Caenorhabditis elegans: one gene and its partners. The protein of the gene in region 3 interacts with the protein of the main gene of each other region in a pairwise test. Each region holds a gene or a part of one and is shown on either strand. Other genes may lie near its edges.

Evidence for each region.
Region 1: the proteins of mup-4 (region 3) and crb-1 interact in a two-hybrid assay, tested with the Caenorhabditis elegans proteins (one large-scale study listed by BioGRID).
Region 2: the proteins of mup-4 (region 3) and ttm-1 interact in a two-hybrid assay, tested with the Caenorhabditis elegans proteins (one large-scale study listed by BioGRID).

What each region holds. Positions count from the first base shown.
Region 1 is NC_003284.9:17,409,540-17,417,185, reverse strand, and holds the start of crb-1 (uncharacterized protein), read left to right. Parts: upstream 1-3,171; 5' UTR 3,172-3,336; coding exon 3,337-3,382; exon of another isoform or gene 3,383-3,494; intron 3,495-3,934; coding exon 3,935-4,220; intron 4,221-4,266; coding exon 4,267-4,366; intron 4,367-4,412; coding exon 4,413-4,563; intron 4,564-5,062; coding exon 5,063-5,205; intron 5,206-5,250; coding exon 5,251-5,346; intron 5,347-5,415; coding exon 5,416-5,857; intron 5,858-5,947; coding exon 5,948-6,087; intron 6,088-6,154; coding exon 6,155-6,268; intron 6,269-6,543; coding exon 6,544-6,725; intron 6,726-6,773; coding exon 6,774-7,005; intron 7,006-7,055; coding exon 7,056-7,151; intron 7,152-7,198; coding exon 7,199-7,349; intron 7,350-7,393; coding exon 7,394-7,523; intron 7,524-7,639; coding exon 7,640-7,646.
Region 2 is NC_003281.10:12,951,211-12,960,747, forward strand, and holds ttm-1 (Zinc transporter ttm-1), read right to left. Parts: upstream 5,962-9,537; 5' UTR 5,803-5,961; coding exon 5,512-5,802; intron 4,124-5,511; coding exon 3,331-4,123; intron 2,144-3,330; coding exon 1,995-2,143; 3' UTR 1,759-1,994; downstream 1-1,758. Other genes in the region: Y39E4A.1 (uncharacterized protein), read left to right, coding at 262-567, 1,037-1,132. UniProt on the Caenorhabditis elegans protein: Promotes excretion of zinc from intestinal cells into the intestinal lumen in response to increased dietary zinc. Involved in cadmium resistance, possibly by promoting its transport from cells.
Region 3 is NC_003281.10:7,485,180-7,492,832, forward strand, and holds the start of mup-4 (Transmembrane matrix receptor MUP-4), read right to left. Parts: upstream 3,927-7,653; 5' UTR 3,884-3,926; coding exon 3,808-3,883; intron 3,018-3,807; coding exon 2,962-3,017; intron 2,733-2,961; coding exon 1,736-2,732; intron 1,357-1,735; coding exon 824-1,356; intron 729-823; coding exon 242-728; intron 194-241; coding exon 1-193. UniProt on the Caenorhabditis elegans protein: Required for junctional attachments between hypodermis and muscle, and between the apical epithelial surface and the cuticular matrix.

The DNA of each region.
Region 1 (7,646 bases), on a different chromosome or scaffold from region 3:
AGAAATCATGAGCCAACACAGTGGTGTCGAATTTCCGCAAAAGTTGTATTTTCTCGGTGGGTGGTCTTGGGTTTAGCATGGTGGTCGTACCTTCCATTCATTTTTGATTCATTAACAAAACACATACTTGGGCAAATAAAAAGGTGGCTAATTGAATAAGTTTTGAAGGGGGCCAGGGAAGAAGATGGGGTGCGTGATTGTGGAAATTAGAGCAAGCAACAAGGTAAACGTAGTTAATTAACACTGCGAATAGTTGTTGAGGACATGTCTGGCGGCGGCGGGGTACGCGTAAAACGAGAACGTGCTAACAATTTCAAAACAAGTGACCATTTTTCGAAAAGCATCCACTTGCAAACCCGGCTTTTGTATACTCGCTTCCCCATCCGCCGCGCTACAGTACAAAACGTTTTGGTGCGCGAAGTCAAGAAGTTGCTGGACACTGCGGTGGCTCTTTAAGTGGCTCAGACGGTTTCCGATGGGGTGTGCTCTGGGAGCCCAAGATGGTGAGGGGGAGAGCCTAGCGCTTGCCCAAACAAAGTCATATCCCCCCTCCTTCCAACCAACTCAAGTGTTGTTTCTGTGCTTTTGGAGATCGTTCGATAGTTGATGAGTCTCTTTTAGGTATTCAATCTTAGTTTGCTCTCAACTCTTTGCCCCTGCTTGTTGATACTTTTTACATTGTAATTAAGTGTCATTTGCAGTGATTGGGCCTGCTGCTTAGTTCTATTTCTGGATTGTGTAATTCTAAGTTTTTGATACAACTACTATGTATACTACTAGATTCCTAAAATTGCAAAAGGCTCTGTAAAATAATTGTAATGGTTTTTGCATTATTACGTACAACTGTTCTAAATTAATAAGTTATTTTTATAAGGTTTTGTGTTTGAAAACGTAAGGTACTTAGTGAAGTTTTATTAGTACAGGAAAAATAGTCAGAATTTTTTAATAAATTTTCTAGCTCGATCTACATAATTAGTATTCAAAACCTTGATTCGAAAATAATTGTCTCACTGTTAGTCAACAAATCATCACGGACTATTTGTCTTCAATTATCTTGTTCATATCCCTTCTTCTCGCCATAACCGGAAATGCCTCGAAACAAATACATGTGTCCCTTCACTCTTAATACACCCTATATTCCGGTCGTCCACGCACCTTTTTTTCCTCAGCAGTCCATCAAGTGTCCCTCCGTCCTTTTCTGTCATTTGCTGCACAATTCTATTCTTTCCAAAAACTCTTTTTGTAAGACCTGGGGTTATGTGTGCACTGTTATCAATACCATGCTCTTTTCCATGACCTTACGACCCCGCGCGCGCGCAATCGTTTTGTTTTGTCTATATGCGTGTTTTTTATTGACTGACTGACCACTACATATTTGCGGCATATTCAAAAAAAAGGTGTTTAGAGATAGACAATTAGGCGACGAGATGTATCATGCACACATACATTTTTATCTTCTCTAGCGTATTTTTGCGCCGTATTTTTTTTCTGATGCAAAGTCCCCAGATAATACCATAAGTAGAACGCGATCCGAGAAGCTAGCCACAGGGGTGATTTTTTTTCGTTGCTAATTTTTTTTTGCTTTTCAAAATTGTTGTTTTCCGTAAGTACAATTTTAGCATTTTTTTTAGGAACGACAAAAAATCGTCAGATCAATTTGTAATTTGAAATTTGAATCCAAATAATCTCTTGGTTTTAAAAATTTAGCATTTCAACAAATATCAACACAAAAACTAAGTTTAATTATTCAATGTTTATCAACTGAATTTTTATTAAATTGAAAAAAAAGTTGTTTTTAAAAGTTGTTTTTTAAAAATTTATTTCATCATGTTACCGTGAATTGAAAATTTGAACTTTTCAGTTATTTGAGAAGATTCCCTATTTTGAAAATGTTGGCAACATATTTTTGAGCGTAAAATGTTCACAATGAACTGTAATTTTTTGATTAATCAAAAATATATATCAGAATCAATTTTAAGGTTTGTGACCTCCAACATTTCCAAAAAACATAACTGATAGCATAACAAGTAAGTTCAAAAACTTTGCGTCTCTTGAGTATTATTGGGAGGTAGTTTGAAATTCCCCAACTATCTTTGAAACATTTGAGAATTTCACTTTTTAAAATTATGTAATTGATTCACTTGTTGGTATTTTTCCATGAAATTCCGACAGTTTGCCATTTCCAAATGCGCGGTCATTTGTCAACTGTGCTCCGCCTTGGCCTTCATTTCTACTCAATTTTCTCAGCAAAGTTTGTCCCGTCTAAACGGAACTACTAAACTTTTTTGCTTTTGCCGTTTTTATTTCGGAAATTTTTATTTGAATTTTCATCCAAATATTTTCTAAAAACGTATTTCGATATCGGTAACCCCAGCAAATCTCATTTTTCCGCATAACAGGACAAACACACTGTCCTTTTCGCTTCACTTTTTTGCTATCCCCTTCTTTTTTCCGTGTGCGTGCCGGGTGAAACTAGTCTCATCATTTGAAAATTGTCTGTATAATATCCGACCTACTACACATAAAATATATAGATGTTGGAGATGTTGACAGCCGGAAATTGTTTGGAACTAATTAGCTGCTGAGGGTTTTTTGCTGTAATTCAAGTGGACCCAGCACTTTTTGAGTATTTTGAATTTGTACTTACGCATAATTAAGCTTGTTCATTCTTATTTCTTTTAAATAAAAAAACTCCTGAAATCACAATAAAACAATATTGTCGCTTGTTATGGGATAAAACCCCATATTTCAGCTAATTTTATTAACACATACAAGTACATTAGGAACTAGATGATAATAAAAAAAAGTAGGAAATATTTTATCAGACGACAATTAAAAGTAAAATCAAAAGCATGAGCTGCCAAACTGAAACGAGCACAAAAAAAATGTCGAAATTGTACAAATACTCTCGAAAACCTTTTTTTTTAACTAAACGCTGAATTTCTATGTTTTCACTTTTTATAAACGTTTGAAAATTTTGTATATCTTCAATCACTCGGTCAACTGAAACTTTCCCTACTATTTCCAAATTACCGTCGAAATGCCACAGGGCAGCTAGCTGACCCCTGGCAACCACGAGATTCCCCCCCCCCCCCCCTTCATCTCTCTTGCCCGTGTTTCCTCTTCCGTTCTAATTACCTGCTTATTATCCGACAATACACCTGGCTCTCTAGGACCTTCTCTTTCTCTCTCGCGTCACTCCGGCAGCTAGCGTGTGCGGTACAGAAGAACAATCGTCAAGCGGCAAACTACCTTTTTTACCTCCAAACACAAAACAATTCGACTAGCTGCCGTCATTACTCCTATTTGGGATCTGCATTCAATGATCTACCACTCATGAAATATCAACATTTTCTCATATTTTGTACCCTGGTTACAAATGGTAAGTCTACTACTAAGATATGATGTCATTCGGTTTCACAGACTGATTGATCTGAGTGTGAAAAGTTTTGGTTTAGACTAGATGAGAGATAGAAATGTATAACACGAAGTTTAAGTGAACATCTCAAAAACTGAAAATCTAATTTAAATTCAAAATATGTTTGAGAAAGTTGATTTTGGGCTTTTAAGTGTTGAGCATTGTTGTATCTGAAAACTCTCAATTTTTGCAGCCCATCTCTTCTTTGATTTTGTAATCGTTTATATATTTTCAACTAAAATTGTAAACAAATAACTATTAACATATTTGTCGGTTAACAATTATTTCAGAAGCCCAGACCTTTTCAATAAAACACATGACTTCTTTCTCTGAAAATTAAATGAAGCTCGTATATTTCATACCAAAAAACAAAATAAATTTCTAAATTTTGTTTTCCAAAGATCAGTTCCAATCTAAAACTTGGACAAAACTACCAACTGACTTTTTGCAAAAAGTAATCCATCATTATCATTAAGACAGATGAATACCACAAGCTGTCACTAAAACTCTTTTCAGCACTATGTAACAGAGCGTGCAGTCGGAACACATGTCTTAACGGCGGAACTTGCACAGTGAACGATGAGACGCGAATGTTTCAGTGTGAATGTCCGAAGGGTTTCAGTGGGTTGCTATGTCAGGACAACTGCTCTTTGCACTGTCTCCACGGTAACTGCGTGAAAGGAACGTTTGGCGAAGAAACTTGCCAGTGCTCCGAAGGATGGATGGGCTCACTTTGTGATAATCTAGTTACTGATGATGACACTGCTCAAAAGTGCTCACCGCAATGTGGCGATGACGAAAGGTATACATGACCTTGTGCAAACCAAAAACATGTATGTTTTTTATAGATGCACAAAAGGAGCCGACGGATCATACATTTGCCAGAGCAACGAGCCGTCTTGCGCAACACACACTTGTCAGAATAACGGCACTTGTGTTGCCGAGAACGTGAGTGACTTGAGTCCAGAGTGATAAAAACCAATAGAATGTTCAGGGAAATGTAAAATGTGCCTGCCCACCTGGATTTGTTGGAGATCACTGTGAAACTGACGAGGACGAGTGCAAAGAAAATTTTTGTCAGAATGGAGCAGATTGTGAAAATTTGAAAGGAAGTTATGAATGCAAATGTTTAAAAGGATTTTCTGGTGAGTTTTGGTTTGAAAATTTGGATGGGAAGGATGAAATATAGTTTTCCAGTAGACATAATTGTGAAAAAAAAACCTGAAGTTTGAAAAACGTTTAGTTAGATTTTTTCAATAAGACTAGTGTGAATTTGATCAAAAATCATTTATAAGGTGCTAAATGACCAAATGTCATAAAAAATTTTCTAAACAATTCGGGGATTTTTTATCTCGAGTCAAAAATCGCATACATGTTTTTGCCACGTTTCGACAAATCTGAAGCATTGTCATGTTGATCCCTTTTGGCTCGAAATAAAATCATTTCTTCAGGTTGTTCAAAAAGTTTTATTATGATATTTGGACAAATACCCAGTTTTTTTGCAATACTTATAGTTTTCAACTTTCTTATTATTTTCTCAATTTTGTTAACGTTGCTGATTTGTTGAGAGTTTACATTCGAATAAATTATTTTATAAAAACAAAAGAAAACTAAGAAGAAACATGTTTTCACAATTTCTTCTAGGTAAATACTGTGAAATCCAAGACAAGAAACAATGCACTTCTGATTATTGTCACAACAATGGTCAATGCATTTCGACTGGCTCCGATCTCTCCTGCAAGTGCTCTCCCGGGTTTGATGGTGCATTCTGCGAGCTCAAAGCAGAGGTAACACCAATTTTCTCACTGTTAATTGCTTGTGTTTTTTCTCAGGTTAACGAGTGTATATGTGAAAACCCGGCTCATGTTTGTTCACTCGTAAACGGGACGTCAAGGACAACGCAATGCGAGTGTCCTTCGGGGTTTATGGTACGTTTGACGAATAATCTGGGCATGTTCGGATATGGGTCCCTCGCGCAATCTATCGTTTAATTGCAGGGTGCCGACTGTAAAGAGTTGCAAGCTCGTCCATGCGATCGTGAGCCGTGTCTTAATGGGGGTCACTGCGTCGACGACGGGCAGAATCTCTTCACCTGCTTTTGCCTTCCCTCTTTTACCGGCATCTATTGTGGAGAGCCTGTTGATTGTCTGGTTAATGGATCGGATTGTAAGAATGGGGGAAAGTGTGTGTTCGCGTTAGCCGCAACTACCTGCCAGTGTCCGGAAGGATTCAATGGGTCCAATTGTGAAATAAGTAATTCATATCGGTCACATCCAACATGCAGTGACATTCGATGTTTGAATGGTGGAAGCTGTAAACTCGACGCAGAAGGGGAACCGTTTTGTGTATGTGAAGAAGGGTTTGATGGACCGTTCTGTGAGCCAAAATCTGGATGCACAATTAATCCCTGTCAAAATGGAGGAACTTGCCAAGATGCAGGTAATAAGAAAAAGAATAGAGTTTTTTAGGGAGCTGTAAATTAATTTTTGTGCTGATACTGATACTCTTTAAAGTTTTACAATTTTTCAGATGGACAATACTTCTGTCATTGCACATCAGGCTTTGGTGGCGTCCACTGCGAAACGGTGGATGAGCCTTCAACCCCTATTCCCACATTAGGAACGTTTCCATCTTTTACAACTTCTGGAATCGACGGATTCTCTCAGAGTGTGAGTGTTTTAGTTTTTTATTCAAAATTCGTTCATAATAAATACTTGCAATATTAAAATTTTTCAGAAAATATCTTGCGAAGACTGCGTCAACTCATCCAATTGTCTTGACGTCGAATCTGGGCCAGTTTGCATTTGTGATGATGGATATTTTGGACAAAAATGTGATCAGAAACATGATGTAGGTTTTTTTTAAATGAAAAACAGTGTAGAAGAATGCTGAAGTTTTACGAAATTTAATTGTGTCTTTTGAATTCAAAAAACTAAAACTAAAATTATATTTTTAGTCTTTTCTATGTTTTGTAACATAAAGAAATTAGTCCCTGATTTTGTTCTACATTAAATTTGAGACAGTAAGTTCAAACAGTTTTCCAGAATTGTTGGTATTATATATGTACTTTAAGAAAATTTTAAAAAGTAAAAAATGTAGACAAATCATTCCATTCTTATTTTCAGAAATGCTCTAAAGTATCCTGTCCATCTGGTCAAACTTGTAGCCAAGTGAATGATAACGTGAATATCACTGCACAATGTGGATGTGAAATAGGCCACTTTGGACAACAGTGTGAAATGGTGACGTCAGCAACATTTTCGGCGAAAAGTTTGTATATTCATCAGAGCTCCAAATTCTCCCTTGGGTACTTTCTTTTTCTCTAACTATATATTTTATGAAAAAAGCATTTCAGAACTTCTTCATTCGAAAATATTGCCTATGAACTAGAGTTTTCGTTCCGCACAACTGTGGAAAATACCCATTTGGCGAGCAGCGAGAACATTCTCGGAGAGAAGATTTTGTCTATTCAACTTTTGTCGGGATACTTGGTGTTCAACATGACCGGAAATTCGTTGGAGCACCTGCTGCCAATGAGAGTTAGCGATGCTCAATGGTATACAGTGTTTGTAAAGGGAGAGGATAATGTAAGTTTAAATTTTTTTTAACTTGAGTATATATTTTTAATTTATTACAGAAAATCCAAATCGAAGTCTCCACTGAAAATGGGTTCAGTCTAGTTCAAAAGTCAGTCAACGGACAGCTTGAAGTGTTCCTCACCAGATTTGGAAAGGTATTAGCGTATGAAATACACTCTTTACTCAATAAACTGATTTACAGATCTCTGGAACTCATCACTTTATAGGATGCATGGCTGATGTTCGAGTGGACGGGGATCTCATAATTTTTGCAGATAACAAACGAGCAATTGATATTAGAAAAGGGTGCACTAGAAGTGAACAGTGCACCAGAGCATACTGTCAGAATGAAGGTTAATTTTTTCTGAATGATGAAGTTACAAAAATAAAGCTTCAGGAATTTGCATTGACCATTGGGAGAGCTCAAGTTGCAAATGTAAACCTCCATACCTGAAACCAAATTGTGTATATTTCCTCCCCAAAACGACCTTTGGACATTTGGACCAGCCCTCAATTGTGCATTTGAGGTAATTTGTCAATAATGTGGAATTTTTTTTTTGCAATTTGTGCTAATTGAGCAAAACCTAGAAATTTGGAATCCAAAGCACTAATACTAAATAAACACAATAATTGGACTATTTAGCACAAGC
Region 2 (9,537 bases), 5.5 Mb from region 3:
CCAAAAAAATAATAATAAATGTAAAAAAAATCATTTTCAAATTTTTGATTTATGAAAATTAAAAATTTTGAACTTTAAAAAAAAAAAAAAAATCAGAAAAAGTGGGAAAAAATTTACTATTTATTTTGAAAATTCCGTAAACTTTTAAATGATATAATCGCCCCTTCCTCCCCTTCTCAAAAAAATTTATTTCTGTTTCAAAGAGAGTTCGGTGGCAAATCAAATAATAAAATAAAAGAAAATTCTCATCTTCTGCAAACAATGGCCGATGCATTTTTCGATCCAACTGCTCCCGTCGCGAATGATCAGAAAAAACCCGATGACGAGTACCACAATCTCGCCGCGATGCCCTACGACAATCTGAATCCAAATGCGCCGACAGTCGGAGGAACACCGCCACCGCCACCGCCAGATGCTCACGGAGCCGCCGGTGGGCTCGTATCGGATAAGAAGGTGGCAAGTGGTGATGTGGTTGGTGATGGGGTTCAGGAGTTGCCCGAGTCGGATCCTTCGTCCATTAAGCCGAGAGTCAATAAGGCGAAGATCAAAAAGTTGAAGAACAAGCTTGTGAGTTTTTACGTTATCGATTTTTAAAAATATTGATTTTCTATGAATTATCGATTTTTTCACAAAATATCGATTTTCTATAGATTATCGATTTTTTAAATACCGATTTTTTATAAAAGTTCGATTGTTCGCAAAATATAGATTTTTTATAGATTATCGATTTTTTTTACAAAATATTGTTTTTTATAAATTATCGATTTTTTTTATTAGTGATTTTCAATAAATTATCGATTTTTCAAACATTGATTTTCTATAGATTATCGATTTTTAAAATATTGATTTTTTTTACAAAATATCGATTTTCTATAGATTATCGATTTTTTTCTAAATATTGATTTTCTATAAACTATCGATTTTATTAAAATTATTGATTTTCCATAGATTATCGATATATACATTTTTAATTTATCGATTTTCTCCCCACTATTGTGCAAAATATTCCTCCCAAGAAATCTTCAAATATTTCCAGAAAAACGCGAAAATCGTCTACTGGACAATGCTCGGAATTTGGACGATTTGTCTGGTTTTATTCGTTCTCGTTTACTTCAGTATTTTCCCGCTTTAAATAAAACAGTTTGGGTGGAAAATGAATAAAGATATTGGATTTTTCGTTCGATTTTGTGTTGTTCTTCAAAATATAGATTTTCAATAAAAACTATTGATTTTTCAACAAAAAATAATATTGATTTTCTTTCAGTGTTCGATTTTTCAGGAATACAATTATCGATTTATTTTAAATTATTGATTTTTCATAGATTATCGATTATTTTTTAAATATTGAAAAAAAATGATCGATTTTCAAACATTGAGCCATAATGAATTTTTGATTTTTTAAATATTGATTTTTCATAGATTATCGATTTTTTTTTAAATATTGATTTTCTAAAATTATCAATTTTTAAAAATACTGGTTTTATAAGATTTATCAATTAAAAAACTGATTCGTAGCAAATTAACAATGTTTCAAAAATAGAGATTTTTTTATAAACAATCGATTTTTTAATTATTGATTTTCTATAAACTATCGATTTTTTGAAAATATCAATTTTCAAAAAAATGATCGATTTTTAGAATATTGATTTTTCGAATATTACTGACTTTCTATTAATTATCGATTTTTCAGAAATATTGATTTTGAATAAATTATTGATTTTTTAATATTTCGATTTTCTTTCAAAAATTTCAAAAAAAAAAAATTAAAGCCATTTATTATCGATTTGACAGGATTGGACAGTAAGGAAAAATATGAACATTAGTAGGCATCTCTGGATGTGCCAAATGAATACAACCCGTGTGAGTAGGTCAAAAAACTGACAGGAAAAGTCGAGAAAAGTAAACGTTTTGAAAAAAATGAAATTGATTGGAAAAAAAAAACGTAGAAGTTTGCCCGTATCGTAATAGATTAGAAGAACGATGGAGGACTGGAATCAAGCAGTTTCCTGTTGTTGACACGTGTCACAGGAATCGATTTTCTCGTCGAACGGCTCCACTTGGACAGTGGCGACGGCAACTCCGAATCGCCGGCGGATCAGGGAACGGGCTTCGGCAACATTTTCCATGGCGCGGTTAGGAGATTCTGGAATATTGGAAGAGTTAGAAAAATATATTTTTATTAAATATTAAAATTCAATATCATGAAAGGCAGCACTTTTCCCTTGCAGAACATTCCAGGAAATTTCCAGAAAACTTTGAATTTCCCGCCAAAATTGTTTCTCAAAAAATTTGAATTTCCCTTCAAAATTCTCATTTAAAAATTTGAATTTCCCACCAAAAATCATTGGAAAAAATTGAATTTTTTTGCCAATTTTTTTAGAGCACATCTGAATTTTTTTTCAAAAGTTTCATTTAAAAAATTTGAATTTCTCGCCAAAACTGTTATTGAAAATTTTGAATTTATCTTCAAAACTTCAATAGCACGTGGTGTCAGGCTGTCTCATTGCGGCTTGATCTACTACAAATGCGGGAATATTTTTACAGAAAAATTGTCAGCACGCTCTTAACCATGCGAAGTCAGATGAGATGTATGCGTCTCAACTCCCGCATTTTTTGAAGATCAAATCGAAATAAGACATTCTGACCCCACGTGCAACAGAGAGACAATTTGAATTTCCTGCCAAAAAATTTTTAAAGGAAAACTCGATTTCCCGGCAAATTTTTCGAAAGAAAATTGTTTGAATTCCCGCCAAAAATTTTATAGCCAAAGTTTGAATTTGCCGCCAAAACTAACAGTTTAAAATTTTGAATTTCCCGCCAAAATTCCTATAAAAAATGTTCGAATTTCCCGTTAAAAATTATTCTCAGAAGATTTAAATTTCCTCCAAAATCTTTATATCAAAACTTTGAATTTCCCGCCAAAAATTATTCAGAAAATTTAAATTTCATTCAAAGTTTTTCAGAGAAAATTTGAAATTTTTAAAATCCAATTTTTGCTCTAAATTGAATTTCCCTTCAAAATTTTCATTTAAAATTTTGAATTTCCGGCCAAAAATTGATTGAATAAATTTGCATTTATATCCACAATATATATTTAAATTATTTGAATTTCCCGGTAGAAACTTCAATGGAAAAATTTGAATTCCCCGCCAAAATTATTTTTTAAAAATTTGAAATTCCCGGCAAACATTTTTAAAAGTAAATTTGAATTCCCGCCAAAATAACTATTGAAAAATTTGAATTCCCGCCAAAATCTTTATTGAAAAATTTCAATTTTCCGCCAAAATTTTCTCAGTTTTACTCAAAACTCCAAAATGAGAAGCCACTCACCAAGTGCCAAATGCACCGAAAACGCAGTCTTATCCATTCCAATAGACCATAAATGCAAATCATGAACACCTTTTACACCTTCCAACGCACTCAACGCCTTCTTCACATCACTCAAGTCATAGTGGCTCGGTGTGGCTTCCATCAAAACGAAAAAGATGTCCCGCATAACTGTAACCGTCGTGAAGAGCACGATAATCGAGAAAAGGAATGTGCAAATCGGATCGGCAAGTGTCCATCCGGTAAACCTAATGATAAGGGCAGCAATCAGGACTCCAATGGATTGCACCAAATCTCCAATGACATGAATCAGAGCAGCTCTAACATTCACATTCTTTCCATCATGAGCATGTCCATGACTTGAGTGTCCTCCATGAGTGTGCCCATGACCTCCAGTTCCGAAGTGCAACACCAATCCCATAACGATATTAAAAAGGACTCCGACGCCCGCGGTGATGAGCATCACATCAGCATCCACCTCATGCTCATTGTTCACAATTCGCTGAATAGCGACGACGACGAGCACTGTCGTGAGCACCCAGAGAATGATCACAGACGTCAGAGCACCAAGAACTTCGGCTCGCTCGTAACCGAATGAAAGACGCTTCGATGCGGGAAGACGTGCACAACGAATCGCAAAAATTGAGATGATGAATGAGAGAAGATCACTGAGCATGTGTCCGGCGTCTGTCATAATTGCTAGCGATTGAGCCCAGAATCCACCGACGAACTCGGCGGCGATGAAGACTGCGGATAGTGCTGCAACTGCCCATAGCACTTTTTCTGCTCGGCGACCCTGGAAACGAGAAATATTAGTTGGAAAATCCAAACAAAAAATTTTATGTCCATTTTTTTTTTGGCGAAAAAATGTTTTTTTTTAAAGTTATACACTGTGTTTTTAAAAAAATTACTACTAAAATTGTGCGGTAACACTGAATTCTGAGAATGCATGTGGTGCCAGGCTGTCTGTCCCATTACGGTTTGATCTACAAAAAATGCGGGAATATTTTGCCCAAAAAATGTGACGTCAGCACGAACTCTGCGTCTCTTCTCCCGCATTTTTTGTAGATCTACGTAGATAAAGCCGAAATGAGACATTCTGACATCACGTGAGACTGCGTATTGCACAACATATCTGACGCGCAAAATATCTCGTAGTAATTCAGTAATTCAATAAATTACTACTTTAGCGCAGTTTTTCTTTGCTTTTTCGTATTATCTTTGTTTTCATTCTTTGCTTAATTTTGATATTATATCGATAAATCTATGAACATAGAGCCGCGTAAATCGACACTACAGTAGTCATTCAAAGAATTACTGTAGTTTTCGCGTCGAAATATTTTGCGCGTCAAATAATGTTTTGATTTTTTCAGAAAAATATTCAAATGTATAAATTCTTGTCATATTTTTTGCGTTTTTTTTTCGCATTTTTGTCAAAAAAACGTCCCGCTAACTGAAAAATGCCTTGATTTTTATATATTTCAAATAAAATTGCAATTTTTCAAGAACATTTTCAGGGAAACTAATTTAAATTTGGAAAAAAAATCAGTTATTGAAATTTTCGACACTTTTCCAATATTTTTCAACATTTTAGGATGAAATATTCAATTCACAGGAAGTCGTCGTATTGCTAGATATTTGTGGGCGGCAAACGATTTTTTCCGGCAAATCGCCAAATTGCCGGAATTGAAAATTTTTGGCAAATCGGCAAATCGACAAATTGCCGGAATTGAAATTTCCGGCAAATCGACAAATTGCCGGAATTGAAAATTTCCGGCAAATCGACAAATTGCCGAAATTGAACATTTCTGGCAAATCGACAAATTGCCGGCAAATCGGCAAATCGACAAATTGCCGGAATTGAAAATTGCCGGCAAATCGGCGAATTGCCGGAATTGGAAATTTCCGACAAATCGTCAAATTACCGGAATTGAAAATTTCCGGCAAATCGGCAAATTGCCGGAGTTGAAAATTTCCTCTGATATGTATAATTGCGAGCTCGTGTTTTGGCTTGATTTTAAAAAAAACACATTTTTATGCTAAAATGGTCGATTTTGGGCTTTTTACATAGATAGCAATAATTAAAATTAAAAGCAACATTTTTTGAAAAATTTAGTTTTAATATAATGGTCATTTTAATAGAGGTAAAAGTTGAGCCATGTTGCAAAAAAATTTGCTATGTACCTTTTGATATTTCTCATCATGACTATGCTTATGCGCTCCTCCTCCTGCTCCACTACAATCCGAAGAGGAATCATCATTATTGTGTGTGTGTGAGTGCCCATGACCCCCATGAGAGTGCCCATGCCCATGACCGTGATGATGGTGGTCAATAGAGTCGGCAGATACTCCAGAATCCGAAGAGGACACCGACTGGGTGTCCTCTTCGATGTTGGCGGGCAGGTTGGATGAGGAAGAGTCACGTTTGTCACTGGATAGGCGGATTGATGACGGAGATATCATTGAGATTGTCATAGTTCTAGAGATTTCAAAAAATATATTTAACGGGAATTAAGAGAAATGAGTACGGCACGTGTATGTGTGTCAGGCTGTCCCATCAAGGTTTGATCTACCAAAAATTCCCGCAATTTTTGTAGATTTTCGTAGATCAAAACGACGTGGGACACTCTGACAAGAGCAGCGAAATTTCAAAATGAAAAACTTAGTTACTTAGTTCCGCGATTTTTTTTGTTGTCCCCTTTCAAAGAACAACACAAAGACTGGGGAGCGGTGGAATGCGTTTTGACAAACAAATAAACAAGACAAAAATGGGGTGAAAAAAGAGAATAAGGAACACAATAAACAGGAGAATAGGAAAAGGAAATGGAGAACAAAATTGAATATGGGAAAACGTTCTGGCTGATAGGAAAAAAAGGAAAAAAATTGAGTGGGAAGGAAGGTCGCAAGATTTTTTTATGCAAATTTTTAAAAATCAAAGATCTTTCGAGTCATGCAGGAATTTGTTTTTTTTTTGGATATGAAGCTCCAAGAGCTCCGCGAGCCAGCTTACTTTTGGACGTATTTCAATAGAAATACATTTTTTTCTAAAATTAGATTCTTATGAAAAAGTTAGTACTTTGAATTGAAAAATTCGAAGGTTTTCAGTGCATTTTTTAAAGTTTCAAAGCCAGTGAAATTTCGTGAATATTTTCAAAATCTGTATTTTTTTGGATTTTTTTCCAAAAAATTTTTTTTTAATTTTCAGTTATTTTTCAAAAAATACCGACTTAAATGCCAGATTTTTTTTCTTCAAATTTCATCGTTTAATTCAAAAAAAATCCGGCAATTTTTAGATTAAAAAGAATAGAAAAAAAAATATTTTTTGCCTTAAAAAAGTTTAGAAAATTTTCAAAAAATCGAAAAATTTTATATTTTATTTTTCAAAAATACAATTTCTGAAAAAAACCTCAAGTGGTTCTTAAATTAGGTAAACATTTAATTTTAAGCTTCTACAACTTTTATGAAAAAAATTTTGACATAAAATTTTCAAAAAAAAATCAGTTTTAACAAGATAAAAAGAAATTAGCTTGAAAACTCCGCTTTGCACAAATTTTTAAGTTTTTTGGAAAAAAATTCCAGGAAAAAGTTATATGAAAAACCAAAAAATTCATGCCAAAAGTTCAAAAAAGCAAAAAAGCAAACAAATTCTTACAAAAAATTGGAAACTTTTCAACAGAAAAAAAAACTTCAAAAAAAATTCTTATTGCTTTCTGCAAAGCAATAAGAATTGCAAGACTGAAAATGTGAGGCATTCAAAAAAAATTCACAAGCGCATAATAAGAAACACGAGGAGAGAGATTATAGATAGTCAATGAAGGAAAAGCAGAAGAAGAACCAGATTGTATTTCCTGCCATCAAGCATCTATCTATCTAGCAAAAACGAGAGACTTGCAAGTGAAAAGTGAAGGAAAAAAAAAACGATTTTGATCTACCTCCCTGTAAACGAGGCGAAAGTGTAAAAATTATTGTTAAGCTACTGGGAATTTAATTAATTTTAATTTACAGACTTTGGCAGACTTCTAGAAAATAAAAAGGTGAAACAAAACTTTGGTCAAGATCGTTTGATGTGCCGTTTATGTAGGCGAGAGATGGACATAAGACTGCCTCTAAATGGTCTTCTGAATTCAAAAAGACACAAATTCTATGTCTTGAACTTCAAAAAATAAGTTGAGAAAATGTAAAGATCAAGTATTTTGTGTTTTCATCCATCAAAAATCCTTCAAAAATCTCAGAAAAAAGTTGTTGAAAATTTGAATTTTTTGGGGTCGAATTTCCGGTATTCTCTACTTTTTGGCTACATTATTATTTTTTCGACAAACTCCCAGAAAAGTTGTGGAAACTAGGGAGGAACTACAAAAAAAAAGGTACAAATTTTCAGGGCTTGAATTGAACTTTTTCAAACTAGTTGGGGAAAGAAGGAGTCAACAAAATAATTAGTGATTTTTTAGAACTCATCAGAATTTTTACAAAAACATTTTACTTAGGCTTAAGATGAGGCTAATGCTTAGGCTTAGGCGTAGGCCTAGGCTTAGGCTTAAGCTTCAAATTAATTTGTGTTCAAAAATTGTGATCTACAAGATTCTTAGGAAAAAAATAAGAATCCTTTAAAAAAATCATCTTCTGATCGCTTGATCTCTGATTTTAATACAATTTATATATAAAAAAAATATTATTAGATGCCCTTTAAAAGGCTCATGTGATAACATAAGTAGCAACAATATCACGTGGAAAAATATTAGGTAATTTAAAAATATTTTCTAGAGAACTGAAGAAAGCAATAAAAGTGCAGAAAATGTGAAACGGAAATTGTTTCGAAAAAAGACAAAAAAAGAAAGAAAAAAAGGAGGCCGAGATGATTTACACACCTCCCACACATATGAGAAACTAGTTTTTTTTTGTTGGAAAAATGATAGAGTTGAGACAAAAAAAAAGAGAGATCAAGTAAAGTGAAAAGGACGTAATGTGAACCGAACTCTTTATCAGTATAGGTGTCTTAAAAAAGTGTCAGCATTTTCGTGATTAAATGTCGGGGCTTTTTCATAAAATTTATATACATGTCGACGGAGGAGGAGGAGGAGTGAAAGTGTGATAAGGGGGAGACGTCATTCTAGTTTGTGATACAGTTTCGTGAAATGTATTCCGGAGAAGTACTGCAATTAGAAATGACCTTATTAGGAGTGTGCGGCAATTGTGGCGAATTTGCCGCAAACACCTCAAATTGGATTTTAAAAAATTGACCGAAACTATTGATTTTGTTCAAAAAATTATAGTAAAAAAACATAAAATTGAGGTATTCAAAAATTAAACTTGTGCTAAGAATTTAGTAATTTTGGAGCTCCTAGAAATATCATTAAAACTTTTTAAAATTTTTTTTTGGAGTTTGCCGAGCTGGGCAAATTTTGACTCCTTATGATGGCTCAAAGAGCTTCAAAATTTAAAAATCTTGCCAAGGTCAGCGAGTTCACTCACAAAACTTATAGGATTAGTGAAAGGTTACTGTAAGAGCGCTTAGTAACGTAACCTGTGCAAAAAGATCTACTTTTAGCCACAGCGACCATGTCGTATTTTCTATATTAGTCTCGCACTTAAAGGTGCTTTAGTCAATTTTTTAAAAATTGCTTTATTAGACTCTATATTGTTTGAAAACACGAAATTTCATAATTAAACTTCTTTAAAACTTCTCAAAAAAAAGGTTATGGCGGCTCAAAAAATGACTTAAAATAGGTTAAAATTTGAAATTTGACAGACTTGTCAAGCGGCTGGAAACTATTTTTTTTTGAAATCACCGTCTAATTTTAGGTATGGAAATCAATTATTTTTCTTTTTCAACTCAACTTGAGTACAATTAAGGTCGAAGGATCACCAGATTTGGTAACTTGCGACATAGACAAGTTGGTCAAATTTCAAAATTCAACTAATTTGAGGTCATTTTTTGAGCCGCCATAACTTTTTTTAAAACTTTTTTCAGCATTTTTCAAAAAGTTTCATTATCAAATTCGGTGTTTTCTGACAATTTTGAGTCTAATAAACTTTACTGATATCTCAACCAATTAAAACTTTTTACTAAACAAAAATTAATAATAAAAACTTGGCAATTTTTGATCATTCCTAGGACCGCCAAGATGAATTTATGGGTTGCACTACTATTCGAGGAAGTATGGTATACTATCGACTACTGTAGTTTCGAGAGCATCAGGAACCTTCTCTTAC
Region 3 (7,653 bases):
ATTCTTGGATCACAAGTTCCTGGAGCTTCACACTTGTTTGTACGCCCGTTGCGTTGGAAACCAGCGTCGCATTTGCAGATGAATTCTCCTCCAGCTCCCTTTTCACATTTCGAGTTTGCTGGGCAACTGTGAACGTCGTTTGGTGAGCATTCATCATTTGATTCAGAAGTTTGTACAGGCTTCTCACCAATTTCTGAAAATATGAATTATTTTAAGAGAATTCAAGATGTCATAAACTTACTGCAAACTCCAGTAAGCCGATCTCTCCATCCCAAATCTGCTGGACAAGTACATCTCCAGTTTCCGAAAGGAGTTTTCTCACAAATTTCTGGATCAGGGCAAGACGTGGCGATCTCCGGATTGCAAATATCTCCACCGCAAACCTTGGTGACTGGATGGATATCAAAACCAGCTGGGCACGCGCACACAAACTTTCCATTCTTCTGTTGGCATACTTGATTCAATGATCTATCACATCCATTATGATTGCTTGGATCACATGGTCCCTTGTTATAAGTATCCTCATTGTTCTGATGTGGGCAAGCGACACGTTGGATGGCTGAACGTAGACGAGTGTTAAGATCTTCGAAGCCAGAAACATGGAATGTTCGGTCCTTGGAACCAGAGATTTCTTCAAGTTCTGCGTCAAGTACGTGGTTGGTTACTCCAACGGCGAAGAGTTGGATATCTTGTCGACGAGCATTGTCAGATGGTCGAGTGACATTGTCCTAAATTAATTTTTTTAATTTTTTTAAAAGTACCATAAGTACATCTGTTGAGCTTCCTGCAACTGTTAAAAATGGTACGTTTCAACTATTCTCACCTGAGATCTTCCATCAGTAATAACAATAGCTACACGTGAGACTTGTCCGACTGGTCTTGCTCCACGTCTCTCACTGAATGCTTCATTTGCAACGTGCTCGATGGCTGCTCCGGTTCTAGTGAGCCCAGTCAAGTATTCAATATTTCTGATAGCATTTTGAAGAGATTTACGATCAGAATAGTTATCCAATCCGAACTCATGACGGATTTGATCAGAATATTGAACAACTGACACACGTGTCTTCTGGGGTGCAATATCGAACAACTCGGTGAACTCGGCCAAAAAGCGCAAAACTTCAGTCTGGAAAACATATGATCCAATTGATCCAGATCCATCAATCAAGAAGACCAAATCAGTTGGTTGAGCTGGGCAAGCAGTGGAAAGAGTGCAGACACGGCCTGGTGGAAGATTGGCATTTGAGGAGACATCAACGTATCCTGCGAAGCACTTGCATGTGTATCCATCCGGAAGTTGAACGCAATCAGCATTTTCATCGCAAGAGTTGAGAGATTTGTCAGAACATTGATTGGCAGCTGAAATTGTAGAAATAAAGGAATATTGTGACGTGCCAAATATTGAGTATGTCGCTATAAGTTGTTGCGAACTTTTTATTGGTTGTGAAAAATATTTTTTAAACAAAAAATTTCATTTTCCTTGTTTTGTACACAGATGAAAATTTTCCAAATGCCAACAAGACTTTAGTTATATAAGTTCATTCGGCCAAAAAAGCTATAACATGCATTTCTCTACGTTGCAACTGATAAATTAGCTTTGATTGAATTTCATGCAACTCACCAGGATCTCGATGCATTTCTAAATTGGATATCATATTTTTAATAAGAACATTTTCAAATAGAACTGTTTTCTGTTTTTTTTTTCTCAAAATAGTCATAGTTCACCAAACACACTTACCAACGCTACACTTTCTTCCAGGTGGCAAGTTGTAACGAGAAGAGACATCAATACAGTTGGAATTGCAAGAACAGATGTATCCAGTTGGGGTGTCTTGACAAGCAGCTTGATGAGAGCAGTCATGGGATCCATCGGCACATTCATTACGAACTTGTTGACATTTTCTTCCTGGGAGTCTAACTGGATCGGGTGAGACATCAAGGAATCCATCTTTACATTGGCATTTTGGACCATCGTAAGTGTTAGAGCAGAATGCATTTCTGTCACATTCATTAGCTTGTTCACATTGACTGAAAACCTTGCAGACTCCGTTCGATTGTTGAACACTTCCACGTCTACACTGGCAAACTTTTTCTCCGGCAGTATTGAATCTGCACTCTTCATTTGGTCCACATCCGGAACCCTCAGAGCACTGTGGTTGACGACTTTGTTGTCCATAGTATTCCGGTGCTTTTGGCTTATTACAAACACGTCCTGGATACTTGTCAACGTTTGGTGAAGCATCGACAAATCCTGGGCGACATTTGCATTCGTACCCATCAGCACGATCAAAACAGTCAGCGTTGTTAGAGCAATCAGCCTCTCCGTTAGTACACTCATTGACCGATTCAACACATTTTCTTCCAGGAAGTTTAGAGATCGAAGTGGAAACATCAGCATATCCCGGTTGGCAAACGCATTGGAAACCTTCTGGAGTATCCACGCAAGCTGCATTTTCATCACAATCAACACCATAAGTCTGTTTAGCTCCGCACTCATTCGTTGTCTTCTGACACTGACGTCCTGGTTTGTTAACCTTATCTGGTGATGTGTCAGCGAATCCAGAATTACAACGACACGTGTATCCTTCTGCGAGATCAACACATTGAGCATCCTTGTGACAAGCGTTTAGTGATGGACGAGCACATTCGTTGACGACGAGGCAGCGACCGTCGGCGAGACGGGATACTCCAACGGGACATTCACATCGGTATTGCCCGTTCACAAATACGCAAACCTAAAGGTTTATCACATATTTCATAGCCAGAAAAAACAACAACAATTTATAAAATTAAGAACTAGAAAATGTATTCCTAGATAATATGCAAAATTTTTCATCGTGGTATCCTCTAAAAATCCGATCTGAACACCTCTATAAAATTCACTTTGAGTTTTCATTTTCAGACTAAACATTTTAAGATGTTGTTGATCTTTGCTATTTTTGTAGAATCTCGTTTTTTGCTTACCTCGCTTTTTGCTTGATTACATGATAGTGGGTCGTTTACTCGGCATTGCAGACTAGCTGAAAAACAGTCGATTAAAGTCCGAATTTGCCAAATTTTTGAATTCCCCATTTCACAACAATCATTAAATTCATTAAATTAAAAAGTGATGAATCATATATTATTTTTCTATTTTTCACTCCCTAAAAACGTCTTGATCTCCTCTCTTCTTCTTCTTCCTTTCTATCAGAATGCCATTTATGTATACGTGTTCACACAAGGTCACATCTGGGTGTGCCAAAACTGCCACGCCCTTAACCATTTTCTCAGGGTCTCCAAACTTTTCAAGCTATTTCCACATGGGAGCGCGTGGGATGAGACTGCGAAGAGGACTGGTAATGATAATGAAAATGCCAAAGAAAGGGAAGCTAACGGTTTAGAGATATGGGAATGAGAGAGAAAAAGAAGGGAAGGGCAAATGAAATATTACACTAACATCGATCCCAACCAATCAGAAATTGAAATAACAAAACAAAGTGACACATTTGGTTTTGCCAAAGTTTGATTAGATACTAATGAGGGCAAAAGTAATGGGAACTAACGAGGTTACTGTAATTTAATGGGGTCAATCTATAAATGTAAAGATATTTTTCAAGTTCAGGTTTTCACTAGGCTCAAAAGGAAAAAGTGAAGTGAGACCAAGCACAAAATACCTGCCTGTCTGCAAAAATGGTAACGGGACGCGATAGGTAGGCGCGTAGGCAGGCAAGAGCCACCATAGAAGCGGTTCAAACTGATAATTTTTTCAACATTATGCATTTAACAAAATAATTCAATAAGTAGAAAGTTGCACCCGCTTTAAAAACTTACAATAGGTCTGCCGATGTTGATAGGTTGTTGCCGCCGAGGCGATCAACGGCAGGAGCACTAACGGCACCCACCTCATCGAGATCGTGACCCTTAAAATAATTAAATTCGAGGCTAAATAAGAATTGAAAATTAGAAAAGGGAAAATCAAGAAAACTTTGATTTCGTCGAATCTTTTTTCTGATCATTGGCAATCAACAAAATACAAAGAGATGTGAGAGAGAGAGAGAGAGAGAGAGCAACAGATTTTACAAAAAAAAGAAGAAAAGTTGAAGAAGACGTGAAACAAACATATATCTGGAAGGTGTGGCTGGCAATGAGAGAAAACGAGGGCCCCAAGAAGAAACCAATAGGCATTTGGATGGAAGAAATAGTATACAAGATGAAGAGACGCAGAGGAGAAGATATGCGAACCTGACCGATAGGAGTGTCTTTCTCCTCAACAGTCTTTGATTGTGATAGGCTGGTTTTGAGAAAATGAAATGGCAGGGGATAGAAACAATAAGTGAAGAAATGCGGAAAAGAAATATGACAAATCGAGAAAAAGCCGGGGAGAACATTTTCATGCATGAATAATTATCAATAATAGGCTTAGACTTTCGATAAAGCTTGAACATGAACGTCAGACTGTAAGTTGCAGAATTTCTTCAAATATCGATTTTTTAAATATATTTGGAACTATAACTTTGGATTTGGAATCATTCACTGCTATGAAATGCTCTGCTGCTCCATTGGAGTTTAGTAAGATTGAGTTACCGTATTTTTTATTAGACTTGTGGCGCTCAACTACAGAAGTATAGCTCAACATTTGACACTTGTTTTTAATTTTTTTTTCCGAGATAAAATCATTCAGTGGAGCTAGGGGATGCAAGTCTAATAGGAAAAGTATATTTAAAAAAAGGCTCTGTATAGACCTTGTCATTCATCTGCTCATGGTCCAGAAAGAGTTCCAGTGTAGGCGAAAAGACCATAAAGCTCTCAAAGTTAGATCTAAAGCTGGAAGGAAAGGAAACTGCAATTTTAAGCTCTACTTTATAGTATTTCAGTCAGCAAAAAACAACAGTAAGGTCATATGCATATACGTAGTTCAAATAGAATAAGCTCAAGATATCCTTAAACTTACGCTATCAGCCACGCTACCGTATCCCTTATCAGAGTCACTTCCTTAACCTCATCCAGTACCTTTCACTTTGTCATCATCAAGCTAACAAGCTGTAGAAGTGTCCCATCATATCAAGTCTTATCACTAGAGGGAGGAGGAAAAGGGAATGGATTGCGTAACACTGACATGAACACCGGTTAACCAGATACAGAAAGAAGGAAATTCAACGACGCCAACTTCGAACGAAAAGAAGAAAAGAGGGAAAAAAGAAGACGTGAAATCGAAAGGCAACAACATAATCGGCCGGTTGATTGGCTAAACGGAATGAATGGTGTCCGACGGGGGGAGAAGGTGGGGGATCTTTCAAGTTTGCGCCCCCCGTACGCGTGGCAATGCCAGAAGCATTATGAAAGAATGGAATACACCAGAAGGTGTCTCTGTGTTTCTCTCTATGTTTAATTGCGTGTACATCTGGACGCTGTCCGAGGTATTGTGAATACCCTTCGATGCCATGGGAAAGGTAAAGGCGTGGCACGGAGATGGGTGTGTATACGCAACTTTGATTGATTATAGAAGGAAATTGAGATATTGCAGAAATTGATGGTAAGGGTGGAGAAAGAGAGGAAGTTTACACAAGTTCAGAAGTGTGATCGTCGATGTTCTAGGTGGATGTTAGAAGATCCTGTGAGATCTAGAAATTAACAGCTATATCTCATGATCCATTTGAATAAAAGCTCACTGAAATATAACTGTTCCTAGAACATACAAAGCGTGTGAACCTTTTTTTATTTCTAGGGAATTTGCAAGCATATCAAATTCTTGATTAAAGTTACTTTAATATATTTCTTGCTTAAAATGTTCATACCTAAAAACATTATCTTATTACCTGCTCCCAGAAAATTTCAATTTTAACTCTAAATCACCGCATTGCCCTTTCATGAGCAAACTAGGGATGTGCGGCGAATTTCGAAATTGGCCGAGCTCGGCAAATTCGGCAAGTCCACATTTTTCAAATTTGCCGTGGCCGGCTAATTCGGCAAATTTGCCGCACACCCTTGGACCTTACCATTTAAATATATCAACACATGTTTTACAAGTTTCTTATATTTGTCTCATTGTTGTAAAATTCTTTAGTTGTTCTAAATTTTGATTAATTATAAGCAAGTAAATGAATCATATAAACTCTTGGGTACAGTAGCTCAGAAGTTTCGCACGCATTCAATGTTACAAAGTGTTATAAATTTGCTCAGAATGGTGATCAAAAATGAAGATATACTGATAGAATATATGTAATTGTTCAGTTTGCACTTTTTCACTGCTTGACCAAAAAATCATGTACCTCCGAAAATAAATGTTAGAAATTTATTCTGATTCTAACAAAAATTTTTACAACAGAAAAAAAGAAAACTATTGGAACCAAATTTGGAAGAAAATGATATACATTCCTAGTAGGCCAAGCATATTAAAAAATTGGGCGTTAACATAAAGATCCGAACAAAGATAACAGGTATATTACTTACTCATTAGGAATTTACATGTTAGTATAATTCCGGTGAATGGGAAATACAAATATAAAAATACTAAAGTTAACAATAAAACACTGGGTCGATCTGGGAATAAAGATGAATGCACAATTGCCTTTAAACTCCAATTTTAATTTCAGTTGATCCCTAGAAGAACCTACCAAATCGCATAATGACAGAACCGATAAATTCATAATTGATATGTAATCTGATAAGAAAAAAGAAAGGGAAAAAGAGAGAAAAGAAGAACAGAACACAATTCTGATTCAGTTTCACCCATCCGTCCCTTTTTCGGAAGGCGGCTTCTTCTAGGCAATATGAGGAGGAGGAGGAGAAAGGGCAGTGGCAAATTAATCATTCAGTTAACAGGTCTTTGGCATTTATCAATAGACAGTTGAATGTATGTGTACACCTTCTAGAAGAAACACGCTTTTTTTGTCTTTCCACATTGGTGGCAGCCGCAAAAAATTGGCATGGCAAAAGCCGGAATATCGTTTAGGATATCACTTTTTGGAGGGCGACGACCTTTTCCGCTGTTGTTGCGTAATCGTAATCATCAACAATGATTAACGAAAGAACATTATTTTTCTAAACGTGGGAGGAATGGTAAAGCATAAAGGGAGGTCTGAATTGGTTTTAGGTGTTTGCTAATTGGCTTTCTGACAGTGTAATGTGAGATGATTTCAAAATTTTGCGGTATGTTGGAGAACAGAAAAAAATTGAATGAAGGAAGTGGGAACGGGACAGTTTTGGTGAATTGAATAATCAAAAAAAAAAAAAATTGAATTGCAACGATTTAACCTCACAATGTTGAACTTTATATGGCCAATATCGTCTGTTACGTTACTTCCAAACAGGACTTCTCTGGCAGGCAGGCCCTGGAACCTGACTGCCCAGGAGCCGTTCCCTCAGTGTAGATATTCTGGTGTAGGCGTGAGGCAGGCAAAGGGTTGAAGGTTGATAAAAGAAGGTCCAGCATAGATTTTCTTTTTGAAAAATTATTTTTTATAGACACTAATCCTATCGTTTTTGATTAGACAGTTTTTAGAAAAGGTACAAAAGCATCCACAACTCAAACATTGAGGTATATGGTTTATAGGTTTTTCAGCTTTCTATCGTATTAGTCAAAATTGCAATGCTTCGTAACAATGTTTAAATGGGGCAAAAGTCTAAGCTGAAAGTTGAAGCGATTTTGCTATTCAAACTTCCAGTTTTGCGTACGTT